Linked DNA regions of Lytechinus pictus. The protein of the gene in region 2 binds, or shares a complex with, the protein of the main gene of each other region. Links are inferred from orthologs where the notes say so. Each region holds a gene or a part of one and is shown on either strand. Other genes may lie near its edges. The genes, in order: eukaryotic translation initiation factor 3 subunit B-like, eukaryotic translation initiation factor 3 subunit G-like, eukaryotic translation initiation factor 3 subunit H-B-like and eukaryotic translation initiation factor 3 subunit F-like.

Region 1 (8,006 bases), on a different chromosome or scaffold from region 2:
AGCACTTGTGAAACTGAACTAGAACCATGAACGCTAATCACGATCACGAATTCAAATTCTACTCCGGAGGTGAATTCCATTAAGTTTCACTCAAATTACGGTACAAATTTTTCGTCTGAAAGGGTTGACCTCCCGACGTCTTTTGAGGGGCCGAGCTTACGTGACCTTTCAAGCACTTCCGTAGATAATACAATTGTCATGCACTCATCGTTTCGTTTTTGCAATGCAGTGCTTTGATTGGGTTTGATTGACAAGTCACCAAGGACACAGTACCGCCTTCGCTCAGGAATTCGAATTCAGATCAGTTTTCAAGCAAACGTGTGAATGGTACAATGATTCTAAAGACAAATTGCAATCATCATTACAATGATTATTCAAGATTCTCGTGTGAAAAGGCCCTAAGACTGCAAGAAAATTATTGAACATACAGGGTGCTACATAAGCACTTGCCCGATTGCCCGGGGCAAGTAAAAGTTAAAGTCGGGCAAATGTTTTGAAGTAAAGACCAAAACTACTTGCCCGAATTGGGCAAGCAAAAATTCTCACAGTAGAATGACCAAAATTAGGGTCATGGTGGAAAAGATAAAATCACTTTGGAAAAAGAAATGTAAGAACAAGGTACATCAGTTCATGTCAAAAGAGAGAAAAAAGGGTCAATGGTTTAACCGCAATATTTTCTTTTGAAGAGGCAAACTTTTTTTCAAGGATTTTTTCGGGCAAGTGAAATAGATTTCGGGCAAGTATATTCCAACTATTCAAAAAGTTATGTAGCACCCCGACATAGCTGTCAAAGACGGATAGCTGGACCAGGTGACGTGCACACATAATGGATAAGTTACCCACAAGGCACAAGGGTAAAGATGGGTCAGTACGTTTATTGCTAAAAGCCTGAGCTAGACTTACATGATCTTTGTATGGCTGCTTCTCGGGTGAGGTCCATTCATCCGGTAGATTCATAAACCTATCAATAGAAGGAACAATCAAATCAAATCATTAATCAAGCCTTTCTTAAATATGAACATGTATTTACAACAATTATGTACGAGGCAATTTTTCATGACATAATTCTTCACATTAATTTAAATCCGGGTTCCACACATCACAGCTGCCGCCGCCAAACTGAGCAAATTTCTGTGATCTGTGTGTCCAACGTTCTCATGGTCACATCTAGCAGTGCACCCTCCCTACATCTTATCTTAGTCTCTAGAACCTTGCCCCTAAAAAGCATGAACCACTTTTCCTTACACAAATAGCTAGAGCAAACATAGAAATCCCCCCCCCCCCCCAAAAGAAAAAAAAAAAACTTTCAAAGCTGCTCATCAATAACAAGTTGAAAACTACTATAATAAACTACTAAAATTGTGTCATCTAATAAATGAAAGCATGAAACAACACCCTTGTCCTTATCAAAATCAGGATTATGGCACAAGAAGATGACCCTATCAAATCACAATATAAAATGGCTACAAGAAGAGCAACTTACTTGTCAAAATCTGTGATCAAGTTAACAGCAAACGTATGCTGTTTATCAAGCTTGTACCCACTCAATTGCTTGGCAGCTTCGATGGCGTTTTCAGGTGATTTGTATTCGACGAAAACATACCTGTGGTGCAAAAATTAAAAAGGAATAAGAATTCTTAATTACGTAAAAAGGATCTCCGTTGATGCTTTGCAAAAGAACAGTAAAAACAAATCTTGGTAATAAACTTCGGGATTCTTGATCTCTCAAGATTCCTTGTACCAATACTAGAATATTTCAATTCTACAGAATTAGAAAGAAACCTAGAAAGAACTAGAAAGAAAAGGAGGAAGAACTCTCTCCTATCCTCCAACATCAGACTATTCTAGGAGCTGTATTTATCTCCATTCTTCTTTTTGTCAAAATATCAGCAAAAATTGAAATATTATTCATGTAACAGAAGGCAAAAGAATCAGTGGCGCTGCTTCTCTCATGAGCACATCACTGTGCTGTACATGTGTACATGTTTTGTGAAATCTTTCAAGATCCGATTTTTGATTAAATTAGTTTGATTCTTCTCTAACTATTCAAAATCAAGTTTTTTGTTGGGGGGGGGGGGGGGGAATGCCCTTTACAGTGAATGGGTGTCAGCTCTCATGGGGAATAGATTATTTGTTGATCCCAGATTATGTAAAAAGCAGTGGAAATACCTGTAATAGAGGGTAAGCTGTCGATTCGTCTATTGCCAATTCATCCACTCATCACATGGTCTACCTTTATTTAGTCTCATGCCATTCCATCCATCAACATTTCGTCTAACAACCATTTGGTCCATTAACCATTTGGTCCAATAATTACTTCGTCTAATCACCAGTTCGTCTATGACCATTACGTCTAATAACCAGTTACATGTAGTCTTATACCCATTTTCTTTTCATTCATTTCGCCCATTCAACACTTATCCAATTAGACCAAATGGTTTATGGACTAAATGGCTATTGGACCAACTGGTTATTTACCAAAAAGGTGAGTGGACGAAATGGCAATTGGACCATGTACTATAGTGGACGAATTGATGATAGATCAAATGATAGTAGATGAGTTGGTAATTAGAGGAATTGGCATTAGACCAATTGGAAATAAACATAACAGAGACATCTTTTGGGGAAAGCAAACTCTGTATACCAGCAAGAAGCCTCGGGCAACAGTGTCAGGCCAGGAAATCTGAGAAAATGACTACCATATAAGGCATTTTCCAGTGGCATTACATAACAAGTCATAAATCTCAATCTTCCATGGTTAACCAAGAGTGGTGTCAAATCCCCCTTGAAAGCCGACACCCCCACTAACTTCAAAGATTATTACCCTTTTGTCTTGCCATCCTCAGCATCAGGATAGTGCTCTGTGCTGATCTCTCCATACTTGCTACAAACTTTCCTGATGACGTTCTTCAGCTTTGGTAACCGATCTGCTCCAACCTGTGGTACATTGTCGATGACAATTACAGAATCGATGCCAAGAGCTTCCTTTGGTTTGGTTCGAAGTATATCACCGAGAAGTTCTGCAATGAGAGGTTTATACAAGGTTTATAATATTAAGAATGATCTGCAAGTTCGATTAAAAATAAGTTTATATAACTTACATTGAATGCACCATTTATTCTTCAGTAACTCAAATAGCTCTGCTATTTGAGCGTAACTAAGATCTTAGACCCAGCGAGTGTACAAGGTCATAAATGTGAAGACTCACAGGAAGATCAAACTTTTTGACAGCATTCCGTGAAGAAAGTCATATACATTACTGATTCATTTTGTCAAAAAAAATGTGGAACAACTTTTTTTATGTTACAACTCAACTTTATCATCTGCCGTGCCAGCCACATCCTCTGTGAGAAATGTTTTTCCTGATCTTGTTAAGGCTTTTTTTAGTGCTCAGTTAATATTGTTACATCATCAGTTATTTGCAATGTGCGATCTAGTCTTTTGCTGAGATTAAGAGGGTGAATTTCTAGAAGACTAGATTAGGTTTTGTACTGTTGTACCAAATATTTAACATACAAAAATAAAAGGTCATCAATAAAAAAAAAATGAAGGGCATTTGGTCACCACAGTCAGGGTCAGAGACATAGTCCAGACACCTGGGGCAGTTTTCTGAAAACCGTGTTAGCACAAAAACGGTGTCAGCTAACACGATTGGTATTCTAAAAATAGTGTTAGTATGAAAAACATGTGGCCCAAGTGGTAACACCGAGTAGGTCATGAAATACGCAGTGCGCAACGTGCAACCCCCATACGCGGTGTTAGGGAGGAACATAACATGAAATTTGGTATTCTGAAAATGGTGTTAGCTAAAATTTTGTTCAAAGATAAGTAGATAACACAAAAATTCAACACTGCGATAAGGAGGTTAAGTTAGGGAACACGATGGCTGCACTTTTCTAGCAGACGCAAACGTCAAAAAGAACATATCCGGGCATAAAGCTATCATCTGGCAGAATTTACTGTAATTTTCTTTCATTTAGGGATGCCAGTTGGAATTGATCAGAGGGCCTGAAAATCACCTAGAATACAATAATTTGTACACAAAAATGCTATAACTACGGCCTGAAAATAAATTGCCAGAGCCTGAATTTCAGGCTTTTGCCTGAAGACTGGCATCCCTGTTTCATTATTCCAGCTTTATTTTCCATCTCCCTTTTCTCTACTAACAATGATTAAAGTTTAACAAAAATTTCTTTGGAATTTCCTGTGAAAATACACTTCAAATGCATCTTTAATTTGGATTAATTCAAATCATTATCATATATGCTCATGAGTTATTTATTTGGTTACTTTTTGCCATAATATAAAAAAGACAAAAGGAGAGAAAGAAAATTAAAAACATCTAAAAAGGAGAGAAAGAAAATTAAAAACATCTTTAAAAAAGCATGAACGGAAATTAAAAAGAATGGAATTAGCGATTAGGGAACTCTTCTATAATATTCACAATTTTTTAAAACCCTTTTTCAATGGTTACATGTATATATAGTTCCATTGATACAATTTTTTAAACTCTCAATGCTTCTAGGTAATCCTTAATTCATCTATCCCGCCAGTCAATCTATATGCTTCGGATGTGGGAGGATGGGGAGGGGGGGGGGAAGGGGCTGATCGCTACACGCATCAAATTTTAATTCTGTCTCCTGTTATAATTTCGTACCCATGCTGTCTGAAATAATCCATTCTTAATTGTCACAATCACCCCTCCCCATGTCTCTTTCTCGCTCTAACTTTTTATTTAGCTGTAGATCTAGGCTCTATGCGTTTCCAAAATGATGTAACAATGCAGGCTTCATGTCATCGTGCGCACACTCCCCTTTTCCCTGAAAAGATTTTTTCTTTAACAGCGCATTTGATTGGCTTAAAAAGATGCAGATTGGGAGGAGCTGAAGCTAGATTAACACGAAATGAGATAACACGGTTTTCAGAATCCGGATTTGGGGGGTATTAGGGGCGTGTTAAATCAGAGATAACACGGTCAATATTTATACCAAAGTTAACACGTTAACACAGTTTTCAGAATACCGCCCCAGCAGTAACACAACTCCACCAGCGCATCCAGAAACTGAACTTGACGTCTTGACTCGAGACGAAAATAAATGGATGAACACAAAAATGAAGCCAGGCTTTTTTCATGTTTTTTTTTGGGGGGGTTCTTCTTATCTTATCAAAATATCAGCAACGTACTAGTACAGGTTAACACATGAACTGTAACATTAAAGCTTTCAACCGCTATTCCATACTAGTAGGGTGTCTGGACGTTTTTCAGAAATCACCTATTTTGTGAATTAAATCACTGTCACGTAGCAGAAAGTGAAGAGAATATCTGAAATAACATGTAAATCAAGTTTCATAACTCACAAGCATTTAAATCCAGAGATATTTGCTTCTAAAGTTTGGCACATTTTCAGATTAAAACGTAAGCGATATCACACCGATAGTGGCACATTTTGCTTGACCTAAAACACACACAGAGCTGCTGTACGCCGCATCGCATTGAAGGGGCCGGGGCGGAGTTGGAAGGGCGCGCAATACATTCATTACCGCTTTCGTTGTCAAGTTTGCCTTTCAAATACGCAACTTATCAACTGCTCATGAATAATGCGTTCGTAGACGGACACGTCTGGGTCACTGCTCTAGTTGAAAGGTCACATATACGTCACAATAGAGATTACGAGTACTTCGCCAAGCACAAGGTTGCATCTTATTTAGAGTGGAGATCAGTGGTTGCATCACAATGCATAAATCATCGGACTTGCATTCAAGTACATGTCGTATGTGCACACAATAATGGTGTGTGGATGTACCATGTGATTTACGTGCACCGTGCCGTACCGCGATATGCCATTGCTTTTGTGTACTACCAAGGAGCTTCTTGGTACTACCAGTACCAGGGATTCCCCGATGTGCGACGGCAACCCACGTGCAGCATGGAGTGATGAGTCATTAGTATGACGTACCAGAATGACATTGCAATACGTCATAATAATGTTCTTACCACCATAGGCGGCGGCGGGACAGGTTCCCCCCTAAATTTGAGGTGGGGGGGGGGGTGGTCCCCCTAAATTTTAGTTGATAATCTGTTTTATTTTATTTTTTTCTGCTTGTCAATTTTATTTCCTGCGTCCCCCCCCTAAAGTCAGCGTGGACCCCCCTAAAATGTTTCTGCCCCCCCCTAAAATTTTAGTTGATTGCCTTTTTTTTTTTGCTTGTCAATTTTGTTTAACCTGTTATCATCACAAAATTTCGGGTGGAACCCCCTAAATTTTTTGACTTCGCCGCCAATGCTTACCACACGCCAGATCAATTTCCTCATGTCAATTTAAGGTCTATACTTGACTTAATAAAATGTTTGAAAGGTGAACTCAGGGCTGAAAATGATTTCTGAATAAATAGGGTAAGATTCACCAAGCAAAGGCTGGAAATTTTTATGAAAATCTGATAAAAAGTAACTAAGTTATTGAATTTTAAAGATTATTGATGTTTTGTGAAGATAATTATATGCACGTCGTCATCAATATTCATTAGGCCGATTATGTCACATCCCTACTCTTTTTTCTTAAGATATCACATATAAGATGTGAGTATGGTATGTCTCCTTAACAAGCCTTGCAGCAAAGAGTATCAAATGTATTAAATCTGTTGTCAGTTTTTGTTTTCATTCTTGGAGGACAAATTGAACATAATTTTATAATATACGAAAAAATAAATTGGGATATTTCACGTGACACGATCACTTTGCTCATGATTGAATATTGATGAAGACAGTAAAGAGTTGTTTCACTGAAATCTTAAGCATGCTGTAACCTTGATATTAAGTGTCCAATTTTAATAATGTCGACTTTTGTTTCAAATAGTATTATTTTTCACATAGAGTTTCATTCCGATTTCATAACGATCATTGCTGATTTGATTTATACCCCCCCCCCTCACCCCACATACATACCCTAAGTCTTACGTTATTTATCATCATTGTCAACCACCATCGATCACGCACTATTGTCATATTTTTATTAGGGCAATTCCATAAAATATGTACGTTCGAACCTCTATATTTGGGATCTTCATGAAATTTTCGGTCTCTATGATTCTTGGTTCTTTTGACAGTCTGTAACGCTGTCAAATGACCATGACTTGGCCAGTTTATTAAGTGATGTAAGACTTTAGAAAAATGGGGGTCGAATGTACAGAAAGCTTGATCATTTTACGGAATTGCCCATTATCCAAACCATCATGCAATCAAAACCATGCACACCCACTCGTACATCATCACCCTGAGTTCATTTATCACAAAGGCCAATCATCATCGTGAATCCATTTCATCACTTAGGAAAAAAAAGAAATAGTCATTAAAACTTTTTCTCTGTTTGTATATGTCCATAAAACCATAAACATCAGAATCCACACTTCATTTCATGCAGGCAAATCATCACCATCAAAACACTTCATCATGGCGCATTATGTTTACCATCATTTTTAGATGCAATTAAACTTCAAGATGAAAATATAACTTTATTCTACTTTTCTTTATTTCAGATTTATTAGGAAACGATAGAGGGGTTTCGATCGTCGGACCTAAGAAATGAGAATCACCGAGAACTCAAAAATAAAACACATATATAGAGCTTGTATTTCTGTTTCCTTGTCAACTATTCAAGTCATCTTTATTCTAAAATCGAGTTGACATATATGATATATGCTGTTTCATTTCAAGATGCTTAACTCACACAAAATAACGGAATAATACCAAGTGAAATATTTTAAACCGTTCACAATTGTAAAATGTCCACAAGGTTTTTCTGAAGAACCTGTATATAATACTACTGAGAGTAACTGCCTCAATATCTTGTCAACTTTCAATTGGGGAAAACATTGAACACACGAACTACCATACGCATTATTCTTTGCATGAAAATTGCTGTATTATTTGGAAGTTCAGCTGAATATTAAGCACAATTTGGGACACGACGTGGTTTTTATGAATAGGCCTTTCAAGCCTCTTGCGTTTT
Region 2 (8,000 bases):
GAGATGTGTATCTGGTATAACTTGACATCAGAACCATTTTTTTTTGCTAATTTCATCTTCATACCTTTCGTTGAGCTACTGACTTGGAGGCTTTCCTCTTCTCAATCTTAAATGTGCGTGTGATCTGAGAGAGAAAAAAAAAACTTCATGATTTCAAAAAAACTAAATACATATAGCCTGTTATGTAAATCACACAATGTAATTATTTCTTTTAGGGGCATGTAACACAAAGATTAGTGATTGATTATACAATTGATTCCTTTGACTGATTGCACATAATGATCAAGGTACTCAAGGGTAAAAATCAGACCTAGATCAAGCACTAGGTTTCTTGTTACTGACCACTGATTGTCATGTATTAATGAAATACAAGCACAAATTAAAATTTGTGGTTTAGAGAATTTGCCTACTTTGAACATAAATATTTCAAGGAACAAATCACTGAACTTTTGTTAGTAAATTGCAGCACTGTGCTGTTTGGTACTCTTACAGTGGCAGTGAAGTAGGATGTACTTACTGTAGATGTTAACAGTCCGACTTTGTAGGACTATTTGTCCATTTTAAAATAAATGAATATATGTTTAAAATAAATGAATATATGATAACAAAATGACTTGTATGCACAACCAAACATGAATACATGTAGGCCTACATAAGACAAGTGATTTTATAATTTGTAGATTCTTTGATAAATGTAGATAATAATCATAAATCTTGTAAATAATTGTGGGTACCTTTATCAATTTGCCATCTTCATCTCGTTTGTACTCGATCAACTTCTTGAAATCTCCTTCAAACAATTCTTCAGGAGGTGGAATACTCCCTAGTAAGATAATAGGAAAGAAAGATATTAAAAAAAAAAGATTTAGCATAGACTGTGATACACTCCTGTATCTTGCCTGATTTTTTAACCAAAAATGTGGAAAATAATGCTCAGTTGAATAAGTTCCTTTATTGATGATTGTAGCTTACTGTACAATGAATTCAATACAACTTTCAGTAGTGGTTCCGAATTCTGGCCTGGTCTAATAACTGGCCTAGTCTATTGTCCATCCAAGCTCAAATGATAGCAACCTAGTTTTTACAAATAAAATAACATAACAAACATTGACATTAAGACATAAAAGGTCACATACCCTCATCAAGGTCAGCTTTAAGTTTTGGGATTCATTCATCATTAACCATACAAGTTCAAGCTTTAGTAAGCACTAGAAAGGAAACTGAACTTTAAATTATGTGCAATAAACATCCTTTGAAGAATATTTTGCAATGATCATTATCTTTGCAAGTCCCTTTTTTTTAGGTTGGTTTCCTCTTTATAAAAAGAGGAGACGTAAGTCAAAATGACGAACTTACTCAAATCTCCTTCCTCTACTTGGTCTGCCCAGCTAATAGGTTTAGATCTGTAAAGCAAGAAGAAAAGTTTATTTTCATTTACAATAGGTCCTTGAACCGCTTTGTTATGATGTACCTTCGATTAGCGATGTTACAAAATGCCTTATTGAAGAACAATTCATAGATAAAATTATTATTTAACAAATACTAAAATTTAATACGTGATTAAAACCGTCATAACGAAGCGATTCAAGGGTCAGACTTATTGTATTTGCTTTGTTGAAGAACGAATCGAGAGATCTACACGAGTTCGGGCTGGTAAGAAACCTTCAATTTTTAACCTTCGTATTAACCAATTTTTGAAACCTTCATACGCATTAGGCGTATGAAGGTGTAAAAATAAATAAAATAAAAAACATTTACGTGATTTTTATCTTAAAAGATGGATTTCCTAGGGAAATCCATCTTTGTTTTAGTGAGTCTCTTATACATATATGGCAGGCAGTTCAAGGCTCCATGATGGAGAAGCTTTTATTATATGTCAAAATATTTAAAAAATATCATCATGGAGTCTTCAAGTTCAAGGCTACAGCTGATCTGCCCGCACGATCGCTCACGCGAGTGAAGTGCCTACTCAGACAGACAGTAGAGGCGCACGGCCAATATGGGAGACTCTCTCCAATAGGGGAGACAATCTCCCGCAATGGAGACTTGCTTTGCAAAAGGACAAAAGAAACAACACCAACAAAAGCATGATTTTTTCTACCCAAAATTTTGTCTCACTGAGGTCAGAAGCCCATTTGTTTTGAGTGTGATTGAAAACAAAAATCCTTATCGAAACAAAAGTAGACGGTGAATTTTTAAAGTAGACGGTGAAAAGGGGTAATTTTTCATGAGGAATCTGCTTATCACATTTTTATTTGCCGCCAAGGTAATCCTTTTGCAGCAAATGTAAACAAAGGAAATTGGTCTCCAAAACTGGAGACTGTCTCTGAAATTTGATACCCAAATTCTTTACAAAAGTCTCTGATATTGGAGATAATCTCCCACATTGGAGACAGTCTCCAATATTGGCCGTGCGCCTCTCTACTGACAGAGCACTCCTCAATTTTTAAATCTAATCAAAAGATTAAAAAAATAACCATTTATGATTTAAAATAGGCCTAGATCTAAAATGATATTCTGAATTGTCTGCTTATGTTCCATTAATTGCCTAATCACTAAATTGAACACACACTCAGTCACACTCATCGCAATGCAAGGAACACTGTCTTGCATATCAGATTTTCTGTGCTGTATAGGCGTAGCTGGTGAATTAACTCGGGTGATATTCCAATACGTTTATCAAGAAAACGTGATATCACCTATTCAATTGCGTGTAAAAGATATCTCACACGCTAGGCCGTGGCGCATGCCTCTTGAGGAGGGGAAAGTCGACAAAGATGGTGATAAAAAGAATCTTTATCATGATAAATTTTTCAATTTTCTGAGATTATAATACTTATTAAAATAAAAATAAAAAAATAAACATTTAAATAATATTCTGGTTAATGCTTACGTATCGGCCGAGGGCATATTTGAAGACTGTTTCTAGGCCAACTTTCGTAAAAGTGAACAGCTGCTATGACACACATGCGTGACTTGCGTAAGTACACGTATTCGGCGCGCGTACAAAATGAATGGGACAGCTGCACCAAAGCTGCACAGTAGATGGCGCTATATCAAAACCCGATTCGGGATCAAAGGGGGGGGGGCGGAGGGCAGTGGCGTAACAGGCAGGGGGGTTTCACCTGGAAAATAAGGGGGGGAACGGGGAAAAGAGAAATTGATTGATTGATTTTATTTGGCAAGTCACAATAACATGGACGAATCGTAGTCCTGTTAACTACCACGAATGGAAAGTCAATTCGTAAAACCATCCACTGTAAACAAGACTTGGAGAATCTGTAACCTGAGAGAAAAATCAATGCTGTTGCATTCCCCCGTGCATTCCAGTCTAGTTTGTTGGTTTATTGGTTTATATCAATCGATTTATTATCTGACTCTTAAAGATAAATAAAAGTTAGTGACTGAAATAGTATATTACCTTTTGTCAATTATTTCTCAAGTGTTTGTGTTTTGTGTAGATTTTATGTTGTCCTGTGCGTCTTGTTAACGATGTCGAATGATGTAATAATAGAATCAAGTTTGAATAAAGATGAAACCATCAATAACTCATCTGCAAATTTAAACGATACTTACCTTCTTCCATTTGCAGAAATTGATGACTCGGAATTTGAATCCTTATTCTGTTTAACAAGAGAGTCCGTCGATACAGATAATATAGACGGACAATCTGTGGAAAATGGTCAGGACGAATATACCGACTCCACCAATGCGAAGTATTACTTGACCTCTGAATTTAATGAAATTATCAAAAACTCTGTAACAAAAAATTTTAGCATGATCCATTTCAATCCCGGGGGGGCCACTTCCATTGACGAGTGGATACCATGCGCGACCACGGGGTCTTGAAAAGCACCCTAAACACGTATTTTCCATATTCTGAAAATGCACCCCTTAACAAGTATTGGCGTGTGAAACCCTACCCTTAACAAGTATTGGAAACAAATACTATTGGCAAGTATTCCCAGAACTGAGCCCCTAAACAAGTACAGCGATGTATTTTCCATATTCTGAAAATGCACCCCTTAACAAGAATTGGAAACAAAACGATACTCTTAGCAAGTATTCCCTGAAATGAACCCCTTAACAAGTACAGAGGTATTTTATTGTTATGTCACGCGTCCGTCGGTCGTCGGTTTTACCTTTAGACACCATTATTTTGGTTTAGTACGGCCCCACCTTCCACACCTCGCGCAAATCGGACTCTAAACACGTAGTGTTGGGGCAAAAAGGACATCCTTTATAAAACATTTTGACTTTGTTTTATCATCCCCGCACATTTGACCCTAAACACGTATATTTTTCCTAGCGAAATAGATACCCTTTTTTCAATATTTTTGTGTTTTTGACACCCTTATCACGTTACGTACGTAACGTGCCCTATCTTGAAAAAGACATCCTTTTTACGTGTTTTTTTGGTCGCGCATGGTATCCACTCGTCAATGTAAGTGGCCCCCCCGGGATTTCAATGCAAGGAGTTTATTTCAAAATTTTGATTATATACACAGTTTTCTCTCAAATATCAGATTTAGATTTTCAGTGATTGGGATAACGGAAACGTGGATCAACTCAAACTCTGATGTCCCCTTTTCAATTGAAGGTTATAAGTTCCTACATGTTGACCGATTAAATGGCCGCGGTGGTGGAGTTGGTCTATTTATTCGAGAGGATATGAATTACAAACTGTGTGATTTTTCTGAGCACTGTGAAGGTGTCGATGTTTTAAGTATTGAAATAGAGTGCAAATCAGAGAAGAATATTGTGATTGGGATCATTTATCGTCAACCGAAATCGAGCATTTCTGCATTTACTTTATATTTTGATAGACTGATGAATCATAGTTACATAAATAATAAACGTGTCTTCTTTATGGGCGACTTTAACATCGATTTGTTTAAAAAATCTGGAAGCCCTCTTATTCTTCATTTTTTTAACCAAGTGATTTCATCGGGGTTTTATCCCATTATAGACAGACCTACACGAGCTAATAGTAGATCATCTACTATTATTGACAATATATTCACAAATGTTTTTAGTAGTTCCCCTCTGTCGGGTGCCTTTTTAACAGATATTTCCGACCATTTTCCGATCTTCCATTTGTCACATTTGTCAGATATTGTAACATATGAACAACGAAAAGTACACACCTACAGGAAGATATCCCCTGACAGCATTAATCATTTTTGTGCTGATCTTTCAACCGTGGACTGGTCAGATGTATACCTACAAAGCCACCCGGAGAGGGCGTATGACTCATTTTATAATAACTTTATTACATTGTATAACAAACATCTGCCAATCAGCACAAAGTATATTGGTAAACATCATCGGAATAGAAAGCCATGGATTACCCTCGATGTGATGAAGCTTATAAGAAAGAAAAACAAATGTTATAAATTGTATCTTAACTCTCCTACCAAAGTTAATCACGATAAATATAAAAAAGATTCGTAATATTGTTACCCTGAATCTCCGCCGGTTGAAAAGAAAATACTATTTTGACAAGTTTGAATCCATGAAAACAAATTCTAATAAAACATGGAAACTTATCAATAACATTTTGGGAAAACAGAAAAATAATTTTGATAAACATATGTCTTTTTTACATAATGATTGTAACATTAGTGATAGTAGTGAAATTGCTGAAAATTTTAACGAATATTTTGTCAATATCGGATCGAGTATAAACAATGATCCTAAGGAAGATAATTCTAATTCGTTTGATATTTATATGAATGACCCACTCTCTCATACTATGTTTTTTAAACCGATTACAAAAAAAGAAATATTAGATATCGGTAAATCGCTTAAACCTAATAAGAGTAGCGGATTTGATGACATTGATCCATCTGTTGTGAAGACTGTTTTACCCTTTATTATAGACCCACTTTTACATATCTTTAATTCCTCTCTTGCAACTGGAATTGTGCCTTCAAAACTGAAAATATCAAAAGTTGTTCCCGTTTTTAAGAAGGAGAATCCTAATTTATTTGTCAACTACCGTCCAATATCAATTTTGCCGTGTTTCTCAAAAATCTTGGAGAAATTAGTTTTTAACAGACTGTACAATTTTTTATCACGTCATAATGTATTATATGATAGTCAATACGGCTTCCGTCAAAATTACTCCACTGAAATGGCAGTTATTGAAATTCATGATAGAATAATTAGTGAGCTCAATGCCGGTAAAGAAGTTATAGGAATTTTTATGGATCTTTCCAAGGCTTTTGATTCTCTTTCTCATGATATTTTACTTAATAAGTTGCAATATTATTGTATAAGAGGGGTGTCTTTTAATTGGTTCAAGTCATATTTATTGCATAGGAAACAATTTACTGTCTATGATAATACCCATTCGTCTTTCATGGAAATAAAAACAGGTGTGCCCCCAAGGTTCTATTCTTGGGCCTTTATTATTTTTAATATATATTAATGACATTGTTAACTCTTGCCATGAACCACATTTTATATTGTATGCCGATGATACGTCACTTCTTGCCTCCCATGATAATATCACTACTTTAGTTGAAATTGTAAATATAAATCTTGCCCAAATTTCTGCCTGGTTTAAGTTCAATAGACTTTCCTTAAATACAAACAAAACTCATTGTGTTTTATTTAATAAAAAGAGGGGTGTGCAATATAATCAAACTGACATATTTCTCCATGTGGATACAACTCAATTGCAATTTTATAATTCTGTGAAGTTTTTAGGAGTGATTTTAAGCAATAATTTATGTTGGAATGATCATATAAGTTCTATCTCTGTCAAAATAGCACGTTTTATTGGAATCTTAAATCGTCTAAAATGTAATGTACCTAGTTATATATTATTTACTCTTTACAATGCTTATATTCTGTCCCGTCTTTCATATTGCAATTCAATTTGGGGTAACACTTATTCTAGCCATATACAAAAATTAATTATTCTACAAAAAAAGGCAATACGTATATGTAAGAAGACAGATTATAATGCCCCGACTTCTTTGCTATTTAAATCATTACGTACAGCTAAACTTCCAGATATTACCAAAATTCAAATTGCTTCAATTATGCAACGATACCACACAAAAAGTCTTTCACCTTATTTAATGAATATGTTCTCAATTAATGCAAACATTCACAATTACTTTACTAGAGCATTTAACAAATTCCACAGATGGACCTTTTCAAATGATAAATCTAAATATTCAATACGACATACTGGCCCCACACTATGGAATAGTTTAGACCTGAACACATATAATATACAATTTAATAATACTTTTAAAAGACAATATAAAAAGAAATTGCTGAGCAATTATTGATTTCTCTTAACGTGGTTTTGTACTATTTGCTTATTTGATTGTTTATCCGTTTGTTTATATTTTTTGTTTTGTTTTTAACTTTTGTTCTGTTTTGTTTTACATTGAAGTTTGTTTGAAGTTTGTTTAATTTATTTTTTTAAGAAATGACTATTCTTATCTCTATTTATTCTTTGGTACTTGCCGCATCCATACCATATACTGAATTTTATCTTTAACGATTGATATTTCGTGGGTATGTGCGTTTTAACAAGCCTTTTTATGGCTTTTTTGTGCATGCCCAATTTCCATTCATTATTTTGTTCATCTATATTTTCTATGATTATGTGCCAACCATAATTTTATCATTACCACTATTTGTTTCAGTAATGTTTTGTTGATACCTTTGCTTTGTTTCATGTTAGTTATTTATTTTTTTCTTTGTGTATATATACTTTTGTTCTCATTTTGTTCTTTTTAATGAATTTGGAAATAAATACTGAATTGAATTGAATTGAAAAAATATATACAGTAGCATTAAAACAACAGGCTTGCACAGGAATGACCCACGAAAGCTCGAAAGCTTATTTCCAGTGGGGTCCTCGACATACAGAATAAAAATAATAAAATGGAAAAATTATACTATTTACATATTAAAAAAATGAAGAAAAAAAAATCAGAATTTACTATTACCAATAAATAAGATATATAGATAAT
Region 3 (7,137 bases), on a different chromosome or scaffold from region 2:
AAAAATGCATTTTCTCGTGATCTTCACGTAGATACCGCAGGGTCATTGTGGTTGTAAACTTTTGCTTAAAGAGGGCGCGCGATATTATTCACAAGATGTTTGTTTACGGTTCTGCAGCTTGTACTGCTAGCTGCATTTTAGACGCTCAGCATTATTTCCTCTTTCTGTTTTTTTTTTTTTGCTGTCAAGCGGTATTTTCTATTGTAGCGCCATCAGCGATGATGAAATGTAAAGAGTCGCCTTGAAATGAAGAAAAATTATGTCACATTAATTCGTTAGTTTGTTGACTATTTTTTTTCACTTTTTTCTTCTTCCTCATCTATGATCAAAGGTGAATACCTTTTTTTTATATCTGTTCTAAAAGCTGGACATTTTAAATATTTTGTTCAAGTAAATAAATCAACAGGATAGTAATCAAAATGCGATAGAGCTGCCCGAGCTGAAAATTCTGATACAAGGACTTGAAAATAAAACATTCTGAGCACTTTTTATAACCATGATGAGGAGACCTATATATATGTGTGTAAAGTTATACATGTACAACAGCTTTGGCAACTCTTTTATTTAAATATTGTAAAGAAATGGATGAAGAGAACAATGGAACATATATATATATATATATATATATATATATATATATATAAAATGCTTGATTTATTTACGCCTATATATATATATATATATATATATATATATATATTTATATATATATATATGTATATGAAATAAGCTAACACGAAAAAAATACGTTTTGGGGACTGTTAAATAAGAATTCATGAGTGGTATAGGTAACTATCTATTCTATTCTTGTTCGTTTTCTATTATTATTTGTGTGTTGTGTTTATTTTTCTTGAAGCACCAAAAGGTGGACATGTCCGCTAAGATATATTAACGAAGTCACCATTATTATCACAAGCTAACGGATCAATTAAAAAACGAGCGTGAAACGTGAGCTTCTTTTTTTCTTAATTCAGTCTTAACGATACTTTTTAATCATATTTTAAAGGTGAATCTCATGATTCAAAATGATAAATGCTTGTCGCACGGGCAGAAATAGCGGGACCAATAGTTATTTTCAATATTCCAAACTGCATTCTGGACGTTGTATAAGCGCCTTTGTATAACAATTAAAAGGGTAGGTCTATTTACCTTACAAATTATGCGAGCGCTGAACTTTTGGACATTTAAACCTCAACAAATGGACATTTTTAAAATATGAACAACATCATAAATGTCACTTACAAAAATGATGCCAGCGCGAAGCTCGCACTTAGAGTTTTTGATATTGATGACAGGACTGTATCTAAATGAAAAATAATGCGAGGGCATTTGCGCTTAAGATTTAAATTTGGGATTTGAAAAGTCCGACAGATTACCTATACTTTTAAAAGAGGAATGACCTCCAGAATTCAAGCGCGAAGCGCCAGTAGATTTATGTTGAAGTTTAGACCTAGAACAGGGACGTTGAACCTTTATAATCATGAAAAAGATGTTATTTTTATAAATAAAACATGGGAGTCTAATTTTGTTTTAGTGTTAATATTCAGATCTTCAAACTTGACATTTTCCTATCCCCTCCATTATCCCCTCTCCTTCTCCCTTTCCCCATTTTCGTTCTCCCTTCTTTTCTTCTCTCCCTTTCCCTTCCCTTTTTCGCTTTTCCTTTCCCTTCTTTTCTTTCCTTTCTCCCTCCCCTACTCTTTTCTCGCTCTTTCCATTTTTCTTTCCCTCTCCCTTCCCCTCTTCCTTTCTTTTGTTTTCTTTCTATTTTATGGTCTCCTTTTCCCTCTCTCTCCTCTACCTTTCCCCCTCCCTTTTCCTTTCCCTCTCCTTTTTTGTGCAAACATTAACACGAACATCTTGCTTCCTACACACACACACAAACGCCCGCACGTAATGCGAAACAATCGGGACATTATCATTTTGTTCATACATATATATGTATATTTTCTCAATGAACATTTTCATCTATTTAAAGCTTTGAAAATTATCAAACAATGATTCCATAGGCGAAATCTCAATGATCATTAGAAAGGTACTTTACCCATTTTCATTTTAATTTTTTTATGTCATTGTGATTATTCCATAAAAAGGCAACATATTTTGGATATAAAAATACGTGAAGGATATGTTCCTCTTCTGTTTTATACTTTAACAGAAAACATTTTGTTCAACCAAATTATGATTTGTATTTCCAAGTTCCATGTAATATTTTCATTGGAAAATCTCTTAAAGGTCAAGTGCACCCCAGAAAAAATTGTTTGAATAAATAGAGAACTATGTTGATTTTTGGTACAATTTCCTATTATGCGCCGACGACTTGCATGACTTGAATCGAGAATGTTCGATAGGAAAATTTCGCATTTCGATTGTTGTTTGCGTAATTTCCACCGCAGTACGAAGGATGACTAAGGACGGACCGAGCGAAGTATCCTGGTTGAGATTTGGAGGTAAGCGATAAAAACACTTTAATAAATAATTTATAATTGCTTTTTCAAATAAACTTGATCATACGATCAAGATTAACATAGTGGACAAATATTGAAAGGTTTGGCGTAGTTTAGTCCCTCACATTCGTGTGATGAATGAAAACGTCAAAATGCACTATGAAATCACATGTGTTGTGCGAGGTTAGTATACTAACCTCGCATGTTGTGTGAGTGGCCGTGACGTACAGTACTACGGTACAGTACAGACACATGACAGAAAGTGTGGTCCATTGATTGAGCAGGGAGACTGGAGAGTCATACGCACACATGTCTGTCGCGGGAAACATACGGCAAAATAAACAACGAATAAAACACACTTTCACTCGCCTGAATTGTTCAAAATCAATCAAGTTCCACTAATTAAAGTATAGTACATTGAAAACCAACAAAACAAAGCAAAATAAGTAAGGAAAATACATACCAAGCCGTCGATTTGTACTCTTGCCACCGGAGTCTCGAGTGTACTGTGTGTCGCCATTTTGAGAACTGCCAATTTGAAGATCGCGATTAAAATTAAAGGGGAAGTTCACCCTGAAGAAAAGTTTGTTGTAAAAATAGCAGAAAAATACAAAAAATATTGGTTAAGGTTTATGAAATGCATAAATTTCGTGATGACTGAAGGTACAGTAATAACCATTTTCAATTTTCCGAGAAAATTACATTCAAAAGTCTCTATCAGGGGCCGCGGAACGGTTTTCAAAGTGGGGGGGGGGGGGGCTGAGCCAAAAGTGGGGGGGGGGGGCTGACAATGCAAAAAATCACAACCGTATGGTCATTTTTACGTTTTTGTACATGGTTTTGGAAAAAAAAACCAGCCCCCCCCCCCCGCTTCCGCGGCCCCTGTCTATATAAATCTAAACAATTATCAATTATCATGGAATGTAGATGGCTAGCTCATCAAACGACTGAACGGAACGAGACAATTGTGTTAATATAGACGAACCTTTATTCTGTAAAAAACTTTTCTCAGATATATACTTTTTTAAAAGTGAAACACATTATATCAAATAGTGATAATATATCATACAAGGGATAAAAATAAGTGCGAACTGTAGATCAACTGAGATAAGTAAATTATTTGTTCACATGGGGCTTAAACATCCAATGTTCAAGCCAATGTGCCTCTCGCGAATTAGAGTTTTCATTATTCGTTTTAGCGAGATACACATCCTACCTATTCATAATTTTCATAATTGAAATTGTTTTAGCTCGCGCTACGCGCTCGCATCAATTATTTAATTATATTGTCATCCACTTCATGATTACAAAAAGTGCTTAGAACGTCGACCAGTTATCATATCAGGATATCAAAACAAGTTCAGCTGGCGCTTCGCGCTCGCATTATTTATTTGGTGAGAGGGGGTGAGATATCATCTTCATGACCCAGTGCAAACAGTTAACTTAACAGGTCCCTTTCTAAGTCAGTAGGGTGACTATATAGGGTCTACATAAAAAAAAGCTCGCGCTTCTCGTATACAAAACATATCGTTGCACTTCAATCAAACAGAAATCCTTCATTTGTGATTGAAGCCCTTTTTTTTTTTTTTTTTTTTTGCTTGTCAATTTTTTTTCTGATACGAAATCCTTCATTTGTGATTGAAGACCTTTTTTTTTTTTTTTTTTTTTTTTGCTTGTCAAATTAATTTTTTGGCGGACGGTTTTGCCCCCCACCCCCCCTGTGAAAAATCCTAGGTACGCCACTGGGTACGGTAATACCCGTCGGTCCAGTCCATTGTCGTCCTGGCGACATCGCCGGGGTATAGTGCAACCCAAAAAATATGACATTTTAATGTATTAACATGACCGAAAGTATGACATAAGAAACACCACTACAACATGAACAGAAGATAAAACAAACTCACAAAAAGACGATTAATACAAAATACTAATCTACAGTGGTTACAATTTATGCAATGGAAAAATAATTGTTTATGTTTTGCCATTTTACATTGTGTTTATTTAGTTTGTTTTTCTTTTTTTGCAATAATTTCCTCAGTAAATTTATAAGATAAAAGATAATAATTAAATTGTTTCAAACTAGAGAGAGTCTCTTGGTATTTACATCTCAAAATGAATTGTTTAGGCCTACCAAGTAAATTAGAAAATTAAATGCTAAGGTGGATTGACTTAATGGTTCTAGTAATCCAAATAAAATAGTATCTCGTGAAAGGAAATAATTAGGATTAAAATCAGTCACTCTCATACGCAACGCATTCCAAAAGGATGCTATTTTAGGGCATGCAAGAAACAAATGATCCAATGTCTCGGGTGTCGCATTGCAAAAAGAGCATAATGCATTGGTTTTCTTTCCTATGTTTGTGAGCCATTCATTTGTAGGTATTAAGTTATTTAAAGTTTTATAATGTGTAATTCGAAGTATTGTGTCAATAGTGATTCGTAATGGAAGAGTAAACAATTTGGAAGTCTGTTGCCTATCACTGGCGTAAATCCCGGGGGGATGGGGGATACTTCCCCCACTTTTCGAGGAGGGGGGGGGGATGGCCTGTACAAACATCCCCCCACTTTTTACGAAAGAAATGAAGAAAAAAAACATCACAAGAGATAATTGTTTTATTGGTGAAAATTCTTCCTGAAATACCGCTTAACAAATAAAACAATATTATTGAATCATAAAATGCAAATAAAGAGCCAGTTCACCATTTCCAAACGAAATACAATGTCCTTATCATAACATTGAAGAGAAACTCCCGTTTCTTCCAATTCATCAATGTTGGGGTCTTTGGGAAGGGATTAAGATGGAATGTCAATTCTTTTTTAATGTAATCTCTAATAAAACCATTAAACCCTCATGGGATAAAAAGATAATAATATTGGAGGGGTATTTGCCATATGGACATACAGTGGCGTAACTACGGGGGGGGGGCATGGGGGGCACGTGCCCTCCCAATCAGCTGACCAAAAAAAAACGGGGAAAAGGGGAAAATGAGAAAAGAGGGAGAAAGGAAGAGAAGCGTATTATTCATTATAATGTTATATTATAATTATGTTATGTTACATTACATAAGAAACAGTTTTATCATAACTTCATGAAACATAATTTGCCAAGGGCCTACGTTTTCATTGTCCCTGGTGCTTGTATTGTCTGTTAACGAGATATATAATCCTGTTGTACTGAAACATCCCGTTTTCAAGTCAATATAAACCAAATATATTTCCTAGCACTTGAGTTATCATTGTTTTATGTAGTGACATAATTTATGCTTCTTTTCATGACTCAAAAAGTGATTGCCCCATGTTAAGGTCTTCTTATATATGAAACATTTCCTGTCCGTGATTACGTTCGCATTAGTGGATTGGTGAGATATGTCTGCTCTTCATGAATTTCCTAAAATCAGTCCTTAAAATGTCCCTTCTTCTGATCTGAATATCAAAAATTTTCAGCTCGCGCTTCGCGCTCGCATCATTTGGATATTGAATTACGTATGGTCCTAGTTAATTCCTACAAAGAAACCTTAGAATGCCCCACTTCAGGTCTGAATTATCTAAATTTTCAGCTCGCGCTTCGCGCTCGCAATATTTGATTAGTGAGATGCGTATGATAATCATGATTGCAATGACTACAAAAAGTGTTTAATGTGTTCAGATGTAATTCTTATAAGCCAGCAAGCGCTTGGCACTCGCATTAGATGACTATGGTGAGATATGCATACTCTTAATGGATTCCTAAAATATATTCCTCAAAATCTCGCTGTTTGGGGTCAAAATATACGAAAACTTCAGCTCGCGCTTCGCGCTCGTATTGTTTAGCGAGACAGGTACCTATCATGATTACACAAATTTGATTATAATGTCTCTTTTAAGGTGTGAATATAAAAAAAATTTAGCTCGCGCTTCGCGCTCGCATTATTTGATCAGTGAGATGCATATCCGTTTAATGACATTGTCCAGAAAATTTCTCTATTAGGTCAGTATAACTGGCAACTGAGCACGCTCACTCAGTGATTCAAACATTTTGCTGGTGCCCCCTCCCCAATGCCGTGACCCACGGTACGCCACTGTGGACATATCAATGACAATTCCTTGCATATCTAAAAACATGACTGCAAAAAAAAGCCAAAATATTTCAGTCATCCCCCCACCCACCAACACGGATTTACGCCAGTGTTGCCTATCGATGTTGTAAAGTTGATTAAAACGAGTAAACACCTTGGAGGTTTCGGAGTTATGAATATTTAAAAAAGTGCGATAAAATTGCTTAGTCGATATATTGTGAATTTGTCTAAATGCAGATTCACAGAAAAGAGAAGGGAAATCCCCAGGTTCTTTTACAAGATGATGATAGTTTTGTTGTAAAAATATTTGTGTGTTGCCCCCAAATGTTTGTTGCCTCCCCCTAGGTTAAAAATCCTTGTGCTGCCATTGCCCCGGACCCGATCTGCATAGCACTGGCCCCCAAAAGTTCTACCACTCGAGAAAAAAAAAAGATGAAAGAAAAGAAAGGAAGATGTAAGATATGATGTTATTTCCTGAATTCCATGTCAAAAATCATTCTCAAAGTTAGATTCTCATAAAAAGGTGATTTTTTTCTCTCTCGCTTCGCTCTCTCTGGACTTATATTAAGCTACTTTTTGCTGGGCGCACAATAGTACGGTGCCCCCAGTGTGCCCCCTCCTAATGCTTGGGGCAC
Region 4 (7,390 bases), on a different chromosome or scaffold from region 2:
TGCAGTATGGATGCTTTAGTGTAAAAAATACAAGGAAATTATTCATCATTCTTAATAAACATATATATACGACTGAATGAACATATCAAAACGTTGCATCGTAGATAATGATGTAGGGTCAATACGAGGTACTATAGGTATCAAGATGGTGCATTTCCGAGCAGCTTTAACTCACCTCATCTTCTGATTCATTGTGAGGCACACAGAAACAATTTGTGACTTCAACAACTCCTTGAATACTCGTACCTACATTAAAAAAAAAAACAGAGGCCACAATAAGGAATTATGTTAATTGAATCATAAGTAGATCAATGATGAATTCTGCAAATTACAATCTGATAAACCTACATTTTACACTAAAATAAATTGATCTCTTTGTATATAGACACAGTGAATTATTTGAATTATTTGAAAATGACCCCCCCACCTCCTCATATGTATTTTTTTGTGTTTTTAAATTTAAAAATTTCATCATTTATTTGGGTATTATTAAAGGAGAATGAAACCCTTGAAACCAGCTGAATCCATATCAAAGAGAAAAATCCAAGAAACATATCGTTGAAAGTTTGAGGAAGATTGAATGAATAATAAGAAAGTTATGAGCATTTGAATATTGAGATCACTAATGCCATGTAGATCCTCCCATTGGCAATGCGACCAAGATCTGTGATGTCACACACGTACAACTCCCTCATTACTTTAGTACTTATTTCACTTATATTCTCACTTTTATAGAGTCTATCACAAGGTGAGGTGTTCTCTTTATGAGAGGACAAGTCAGAGGTTTCACAACATTATATCATTGATGAATCGTTTGTCATATGATTAGAATGAGCAAAAAGAGATGTTTTGGGGTATATTTTCAGTGTCCAAAAGGGGAGAGTTGTTCATCTGTGACATCATAGATCTTGGTCGCATTGCCAATGGGAGGATCTCCATAGCATTAGTGATCTCGACATTCAAATGCTCAGAACTCTTCTATTGCTAGTCCTATTTTACTCAAACTTTTGTTGATCTTATTCTTTGATTTTTTTGCTTTCACAAAAGCTAACTTGCTCCAAGAGTTTCATTCTCCTTTAATCTTGGAATATGGATAATGTACATTAATTACATTTTTTTGAGAACATGACATGTAACATTATATAAACATTGACTGCTTTAGTAGGATGACTGTGTAAATTGTCATTCCCAAGGTGCTTTTCATACCAGCCCTTCTATCACCCCACTGAGGCACTTTGGAGAGAGATGAGTTCCACCGTCATCCGAATACAGAGCAGTCCATATATACCTCATTCTCGAGGTCGGCATGACGTCACAGTCACGTGATTTCCCTAACAACAAAGGGCAAAGGTGCAAACAAAGGGTGCGAGCGTACGTGTTGGCTGTGCAGTTTCCTTGAAGTTTTTTGGAAGTCGTTGATTTGAACTGTTATATTATATTTTCATCGCGTTTTGTACTGCATTTTGATTTTAATTGCTGGACAATGGTGAAAATATGTTGTGTGTACGGGTGTTCCAAGAACAAGGCAAGATGGCCAGCTTTATCCGAAGTTTTAACGTACATCACTACATGCGCAGTGAGTCGCCATGTGCAATTTTTTTACTGTTGCGCCACTCACCTGTCACTGCATGACCAAAATGGTTCTAGAAATCATTTGCAATGTTGAAAAGTGTCTTGTGGCATCTGATATTAATCCTCAGTAATTCCCTGAAATGCTGCAACATTTGGTTAAAAGATCCAGCAAAAGAAAAAGGAGTTTAGCGCAGTCAAATTCGGACTTGCAAGCTTGGTCCGTACGGTGCGAATTTTAGCTGCCATTTTTCTCGGGCGACGATTTGAGACGCCCACATTAAGCAATCGATGTTTCAAAGCTGCCTGCTCAAGTTACCAATATTTGGTATCAAAATATAGATTATAAAAAAATGCTCACGATCATTTCATTTTGAAAGTGGGGGTGACAATTGTTATCAAAATAAGAGGGGTGGCATCTCAACGTATATCTCAACCCAGCTGAGTCAATGGACTTTTGTTTGCGCGCCCCGATTGTTCCGGCTTTGTTTGCACCCTCGCGATCGGTTGCTATGATTGTTCCGGCTTTGTTTGCACCCTCGCGATCGGTTGCTATGCAGAAGTTACTTTTGCGAGTGAAAATCCCCGGATGTCCGACCTCGAGAATAAGTTTACCCAAGGGTTACTGGTATCAATACAATAGGACCACTAGATCTAGTGTAACTGAATTAATTTGCTAAATCACACTCAGATGAGTCGAGCACCAACATTAACAATCCAACACCAACACAGCTAATTTTAGATTTTTACAGTAAATACACGCGCATCTATGGGAATCGTGAGCTGTAGGAAAAGTGCAGAAAATTACACTTTTTTATACAAATTTCTGTGAAAAAAAAGTTATAGAAAGTGAAGAATATTACAATCAGACCATTTCCCTAGAAAACTGTTAGTGTTACAAGAAATTTCGAAATTTAATTTATTTTTTTATGACAAAAAATAAGACACAATTTGGTGAAGAAAAAAATCACGAAACAGGAAGGACAACACTCAACAGTCAACACGACAACAGAGTCAGGCTCAGCCGGCAGCCCTTCGTCACCCCCCCCCCCCCCCCCTTGGTGTACAGATAGGGGCTCTTCTTCACGAGTCCCCCTCGTCCACTGGCCACTGTCACTGACACAAGCCTCGGGCTCGGGCCAGGACTCAGGAGCTGCAGATGCCAGAGCCCAAAATCACGTGTGGTACACAGCGCTGGAATATCATTCATTTCAATGTACAGAATCTCCATCAAGGCATTATTTTATTTTGCTGAAGTTATTATCCTTGAATACTTACCAAGTAAAGTTCCGATTACACGTGCTGATTCATCTGTCCGCCTCTCGAAAGAGTCAACAATGCTGAATAAAACTACCGGATGGATATTCACGACTTTTGCTGAGGCCGCCATTTTGAATGCTGCCATCATTGGTTGGAGAAGGGCCAGGCTAAATAAATGTTTCTCGATCAGTCGATGGGGATGAGGGGGGGGGGGGGTGAGTGGAGCTATTTTGAGTTGGAAACAGCTGAAGAAAATGCCAAAATAGGCCCCGGTGGCCTGAAAATTATTTCCATCGGGCCAATAGCTTTAAGAATGTATCTCCAGTTGAAATTCTTACCAGCGTTTCTACATCGATCATGACTGTGTTTGCTATTATAAAAAAAAAATATATTGAAAAAGATCATCAAGTTATTTCATTAAAAAAATTGATGGGGTACAGGGGGCGCAACCAAAGCCCCCCCCCCTTCCTCCTACAGGCCTACGCAAGTGAGAATAGTTCCTCCTCTATCATGAAACAATTCCCGTGGGATGGGGGGGGGGGGTCTTGCGTGTATATCGCATACGCGGGGATGTGCCGCTCCATTTGGGTCATTTTTTGCAAAAAATAAAATAAAATAAAAATAAAACCCTTGACATGGGTCTTGCTATTGCAAGAAATCCTTAGTCATGGGTTCCTTTTTTTTCTACTGAATAATCCTTAGATATATGGGTCCGTTTCTGGAGGAAAAAAAGTAACAATATAAGAATCCCCAGGAAAGCCCCCGAAAATGTCTATGTCCCGTTTGAGAGTATATAGTCTGCAGGCACAGACCCTGATTGAAACTTTGATCAACAAGTGTGTCTCCACGCAAAGACTAGCACATACAAAGCTTTGCTGTTTCAATTCAGGAGCGACTCAGAGGGCCTTCAGTACATACATGGGTACATGGGCGGAAATCTCTCCTTGAAGGTAGGGGGGACACAATTGAGTTTTCCGTTTTTATGTTCTCCAGAATAACTAACTCAAACATATATATATCCTTAGATGTGACGGGAGATGCCGATGATTGTGCAAAGTGCTCAATGCTATATAAAGCAGAGCATATATTCATATTGAACGTCTGCTAACGGCGGTTTCGAGACCAAACCGGAAACCACCGAAGCGTCAAATTGACCCGCCGCACCACACAAAATAGTCAATAACGTCAGTCTGCCTGAAGATGTCCTCAAGTCTGGGCGTGAAACCGCCGGTAGCAGACGTTTAATAGGTATGAATATGTATACATATAGGCCTATATATATACATATTTCGAAGAGGGGAGGTATTCCTAACTAAAGATGAAAGGCCTCAATAAATAATGCGAGCGCGAAGCGCGAGCTGAAAGTTTTTTATTTTCCAACCTAAAAACTAGACATTCGTAACACTTTTTCAAATAAATCATGAACAGAATAGGAATTCAACTAAATAATAGATGCGAGCGCGAGCTGACAGTTTTTGATTTTCCAACCTAAAAAGTGGACATTCTAAGCACTTAAAGGTCAAGTCCACCCCAGGAAAATGCTGACTTGAATAAATAGAGAAAACTCAAACTAGCATAGTTCTGAAAATTTCATCAAAATCGGATGTTAAATAAGAAAGTTATGACATTTTTAAGTTTCGCTTATTTTTCACAAAACATAATGCACAATTAGGTGCATGAATCAGTCGATGATGTCCATCACTCACTATTTCTTTTGTTTTTTATTGTTTGAATTATACAATATTTTATTTTTTACAGATTTGACAATAAGGACCAACTTGACTGAACCATATAGTATTAAACAAAGCTAATTCCACATGTTCAGAGAGGAATTAATTGTTGTATCACTTGACAATGAGGAAAATATAAGAATATTTCATATTTCATATAATAAAATACAAAAGAAATAGTGAGTGGATGACGTCATAGTCTCCTCATTTGCATACCAGCCACAATGTGCATATAACTGTTTTGTGAAATTTAGCGAAACTTTAAAATGTCATAACTTTCTTATTTTACATCCGATTTTGATGAAATTTTTTGTGTTATGCTTGTTGGATTTTTCTCTTTTTATTCAAATCAACTTTTTGTTGGGGTGGACTTGTCCTTTAATAATGAACGGAATAGGAATCTAAACAATGAATGCGAGTGCGAAGCGGGAGCTGAATGTTTTTTATTTTCCAACCTAAATAATGGACATTCTTAGTACTTAAAAAAAAAATTATGAACAGGATAGGAATCTAAACAATTAATGCGGGCGCGAAGCGCAGGCTGAAAGTTTGTATCTTCTAACCTAAAAACTGGACAATCGTAACACTTTTTCAAATCATGAACAGGATAGGAATTTTACTAATCAATATTAGATTCGAGCGCGAAGTGTGTACTGAAGATATGTCATTTCCGGCCTAAAAATTGGTATTATTAGCCTATTTTAAAATCAAGGACAGGGTAGCTATTTAATTAAATTTTTATTAATGTGAGCGCGAAGCGTATCTTTATTTTTTTCCGACCAAAAAGTCATCTTCTTTTAACCTTATAGCAATATAAAAACAGGATAGCATCTGACGCAACCATATTACTGATGCGAGCGCGAAATTATTATTTTTTAATATACAGATCTGAAAACTGGATCTTTCAAGCACTTTTGAAATAAATAACAAGCAGTATATCTCATAAAGCAATGCGAGCGCAAGCTAATAAAGTTACTGGGCGGTGCCGAAGCTTAATTACCGGGCGGTGCCCGCTCAGCGTTATTAAAGACATTTTTATTTTTTACCTATTTTCCACAAAAAAATAAAAGATGAAGGGGAAAACCTTTAATTGACAATAATTTTATTTTTTGCTCTCGAGAGGGGGCGGGGGCACAATTAGTCAAATATCGGATGTACCCCTACCTAGGTCTGCCACCATGGACTGAAATCGGTGGCGTCGTGAGCCGAAAATTTTTATGGTGCCAGATTTGGTGTATATCAGGCAAAGTTCATAGAAAGCTACAAGTGAGCGAAGCGAGCGAGAATAAATTTCTACTTTTTAAATACAAAAATCAAGTTTTGTGATAGATTTAGATGTCACATTGAGGAAATAATATTATATTTTACTCTTAATTCTCTCTTTCCTTTTTTTTTCGGGGGGGGGGGGGATCCCCAAGCCCCCGCATCGATCTGTACGCCACTCCCTAAAACAATAATAATCATGATGATGATGATAATAATAATAACAATACTAATGAAAATAATAATAAATATAATAATGATGATACTAAATATTTTAATGGTAATATTTCATTTAAAAAATAATGATGAATTTTTATAATTGAATAGAGCATACAATACTCAAGTTGTGTAAAATTAAATGGAATGGCGGTCAAAAGGGGTTGGAGGTGAATGGAGTGAGAGACCAGTTTCTCTTTGAAGGGGGGGGGGGGCTCGACAAAATATAACAGCTTAATTGAGCCCCCGGATTGAGCCCCCACCCATAGTGGGACGCCCCTAACCCCCCCCCCCCCCCCCCCGATCACTTTTCAAACCAGGATTCTCTACTGGCCAATGAATTGTTTTTAAAAGGCATCTTATGTAGACCTAGATTCATTCCCTAAAATGCAAGGTTGATAAAATAAATGCTAAAAATTCTGAGACTGCCCCGGGAGACTGCATGTCTCCGACTCCGAGCAACTTCATCACACCACACTCAGTTAAGGAATCTATCTCTTATGTAGGGAATATTCTTTGTAGCTTTTTCCGTATCATTATGCATTATGATAATGCAAAATAAACGCCGCAATGATCACGCACGTGCGGGAATAGTTCGTACCGCACAACTTATGGCGTTTCACTTCGTAATCCAAGATGGCAGCGAGTAGCAGGCCAGGGAGCGATGTTGGATGGACAAAATGGCAAATTGCGATAGCAGTCGGAGCCCCAATAGCAGTGGCAGGACTTGCATTTGGAGCCTACTATCTTACTCGAAGTGGGAGTCCAGAGGAAAGCTCGGATACTAAGTCAGGTACTGCAGGAACTTCTGGAAATACCAAAGCCAATGGCGAAGGGGATGCGGGAAAGAACAGCAGCGTGGAACACACACAGGTGAGTAGTGCGTGGAAAGACAATGATTAGGCGAAAGACAGGGTTTGGGCTCGGCGGCACGCCCGGCGAGCCTGCATTGCCGGCTCAGCCTCCGTCCGCGGAGCTTAACCGGTTAACATGGGCATTGCCATGGCATGGCATTGGTGATTGGATTTGGAGGTTACTCTCCTACTCTCTCTGTCCTAGTCATGGCTGGCCCTTGTTTCAATTGCACAGTGCAGAATATACGAGACTACTGCCTGGAAAACTATTTCTCGGGCCCGTGGCAGGGGCGGGGCTTTTGCAAAACCACAAAAATTCTGACGTTTCTACAATTTTTTTTTTCTTCAGGAACTAACTTTTAGAGAGACAAATTACATTGTGCCACCAGTCCACAGCTCATGCCTTATCAGTTTTGATATGACAATGGTTTATCAAGTGTGGTAAAATTAGGGATATTAATAATATATAAATCCTGTGAGGGAAAAAGGGTGGAAAGT

What was found.
Region 1: eukaryotic translation initiation factor 3 subunit G-like (region 2) and eukaryotic translation initiation factor 3 subunit B-like share a complex: the UniProt entries of both Drosophila melanogaster proteins name them as parts of the eukaryotic translation initiation factor 3 (eIF-3) complex. The link is inferred for Lytechinus pictus from reciprocal best matches to the Drosophila melanogaster genes eIF3g2 and eIF3b.
Region 3: eukaryotic translation initiation factor 3 subunit G-like (region 2) and eukaryotic translation initiation factor 3 subunit H-B-like share a complex: the UniProt entries of both Drosophila melanogaster proteins name them as parts of the eukaryotic translation initiation factor 3 (eIF-3) complex. The link is inferred for Lytechinus pictus from reciprocal best matches to the Drosophila melanogaster genes eIF3g2 and eIF3h.
Region 4: eukaryotic translation initiation factor 3 subunit G-like (region 2) and eukaryotic translation initiation factor 3 subunit F-like share a complex: the UniProt entries of both Drosophila melanogaster proteins name them as parts of the eukaryotic translation initiation factor 3 (eIF-3) complex. The link is inferred for Lytechinus pictus from reciprocal best matches to the Drosophila melanogaster genes eIF3g2 and eIF3f1.

Annotation. Positions count from the first base shown.
Region 1 is NC_087254.1:11,012,925-11,020,930, forward strand, and holds the start of eukaryotic translation initiation factor 3 subunit B-like, read right to left. Parts: upstream 3,021-8,006; 5' UTR 2,825-3,020; intron 1,604-2,824; 5' UTR 1,484-1,603; intron 962-1,483; 5' UTR 958-961; coding exon 904-957; intron 1-903. UniProt on the Drosophila melanogaster protein: RNA-binding component of the eukaryotic translation initiation factor 3 (eIF-3) complex, which is involved in protein synthesis of a specialized repertoire of mRNAs and, together with other initiation factors, stimulates binding of mRNA and methionyl-tRNAi to the 40S ribosome.
Region 2 is NC_087259.1:30,430,708-30,438,707, forward strand, and holds the start of eukaryotic translation initiation factor 3 subunit G-like, read right to left. Parts: upstream 3,014-8,000; 5' UTR 2,911-3,013; coding exon 2,894-2,910; intron 1,404-2,893; coding exon 1,357-1,403; intron 824-1,356; coding exon 735-823; intron 125-734; coding exon 65-124; intron 1-64. UniProt on the Drosophila melanogaster protein: RNA-binding component of the eukaryotic translation initiation factor 3 (eIF-3) complex, which is involved in protein synthesis of a specialized repertoire of mRNAs and, together with other initiation factors, stimulates binding of mRNA and methionyl-tRNAi to the 40S ribosome.
Region 3 is NC_087261.1:24,760,140-24,767,276, forward strand, and holds the start of eukaryotic translation initiation factor 3 subunit H-B-like, read right to left. Parts: upstream 3,018-7,137; 5' UTR 2,968-3,017; coding exon 2,911-2,967; intron 6-2,910; exon of another isoform or gene 1-5. UniProt on the Drosophila melanogaster protein: Component of the eukaryotic translation initiation factor 3 (eIF-3) complex, which is involved in protein synthesis of a specialized repertoire of mRNAs and, together with other initiation factors, stimulates binding of mRNA and methionyl-tRNAi to the 40S ribosome.
Region 4 is NC_087252.1:22,051,722-22,059,111, reverse strand, and holds the start of eukaryotic translation initiation factor 3 subunit F-like, read right to left. Parts: upstream 3,016-7,390; 5' UTR 2,978-3,015; coding exon 2,848-2,977; intron 247-2,847; coding exon 176-246; intron 1-175. Other genes in the region: mitochondrial import receptor subunit TOM70-like, read left to right, coding at 6,675-6,911. UniProt on the Drosophila melanogaster protein: Component of the eukaryotic translation initiation factor 3 (eIF-3) complex, which is involved in protein synthesis of a specialized repertoire of mRNAs and, together with other initiation factors, stimulates binding of mRNA and methionyl-tRNAi to the 40S ribosome.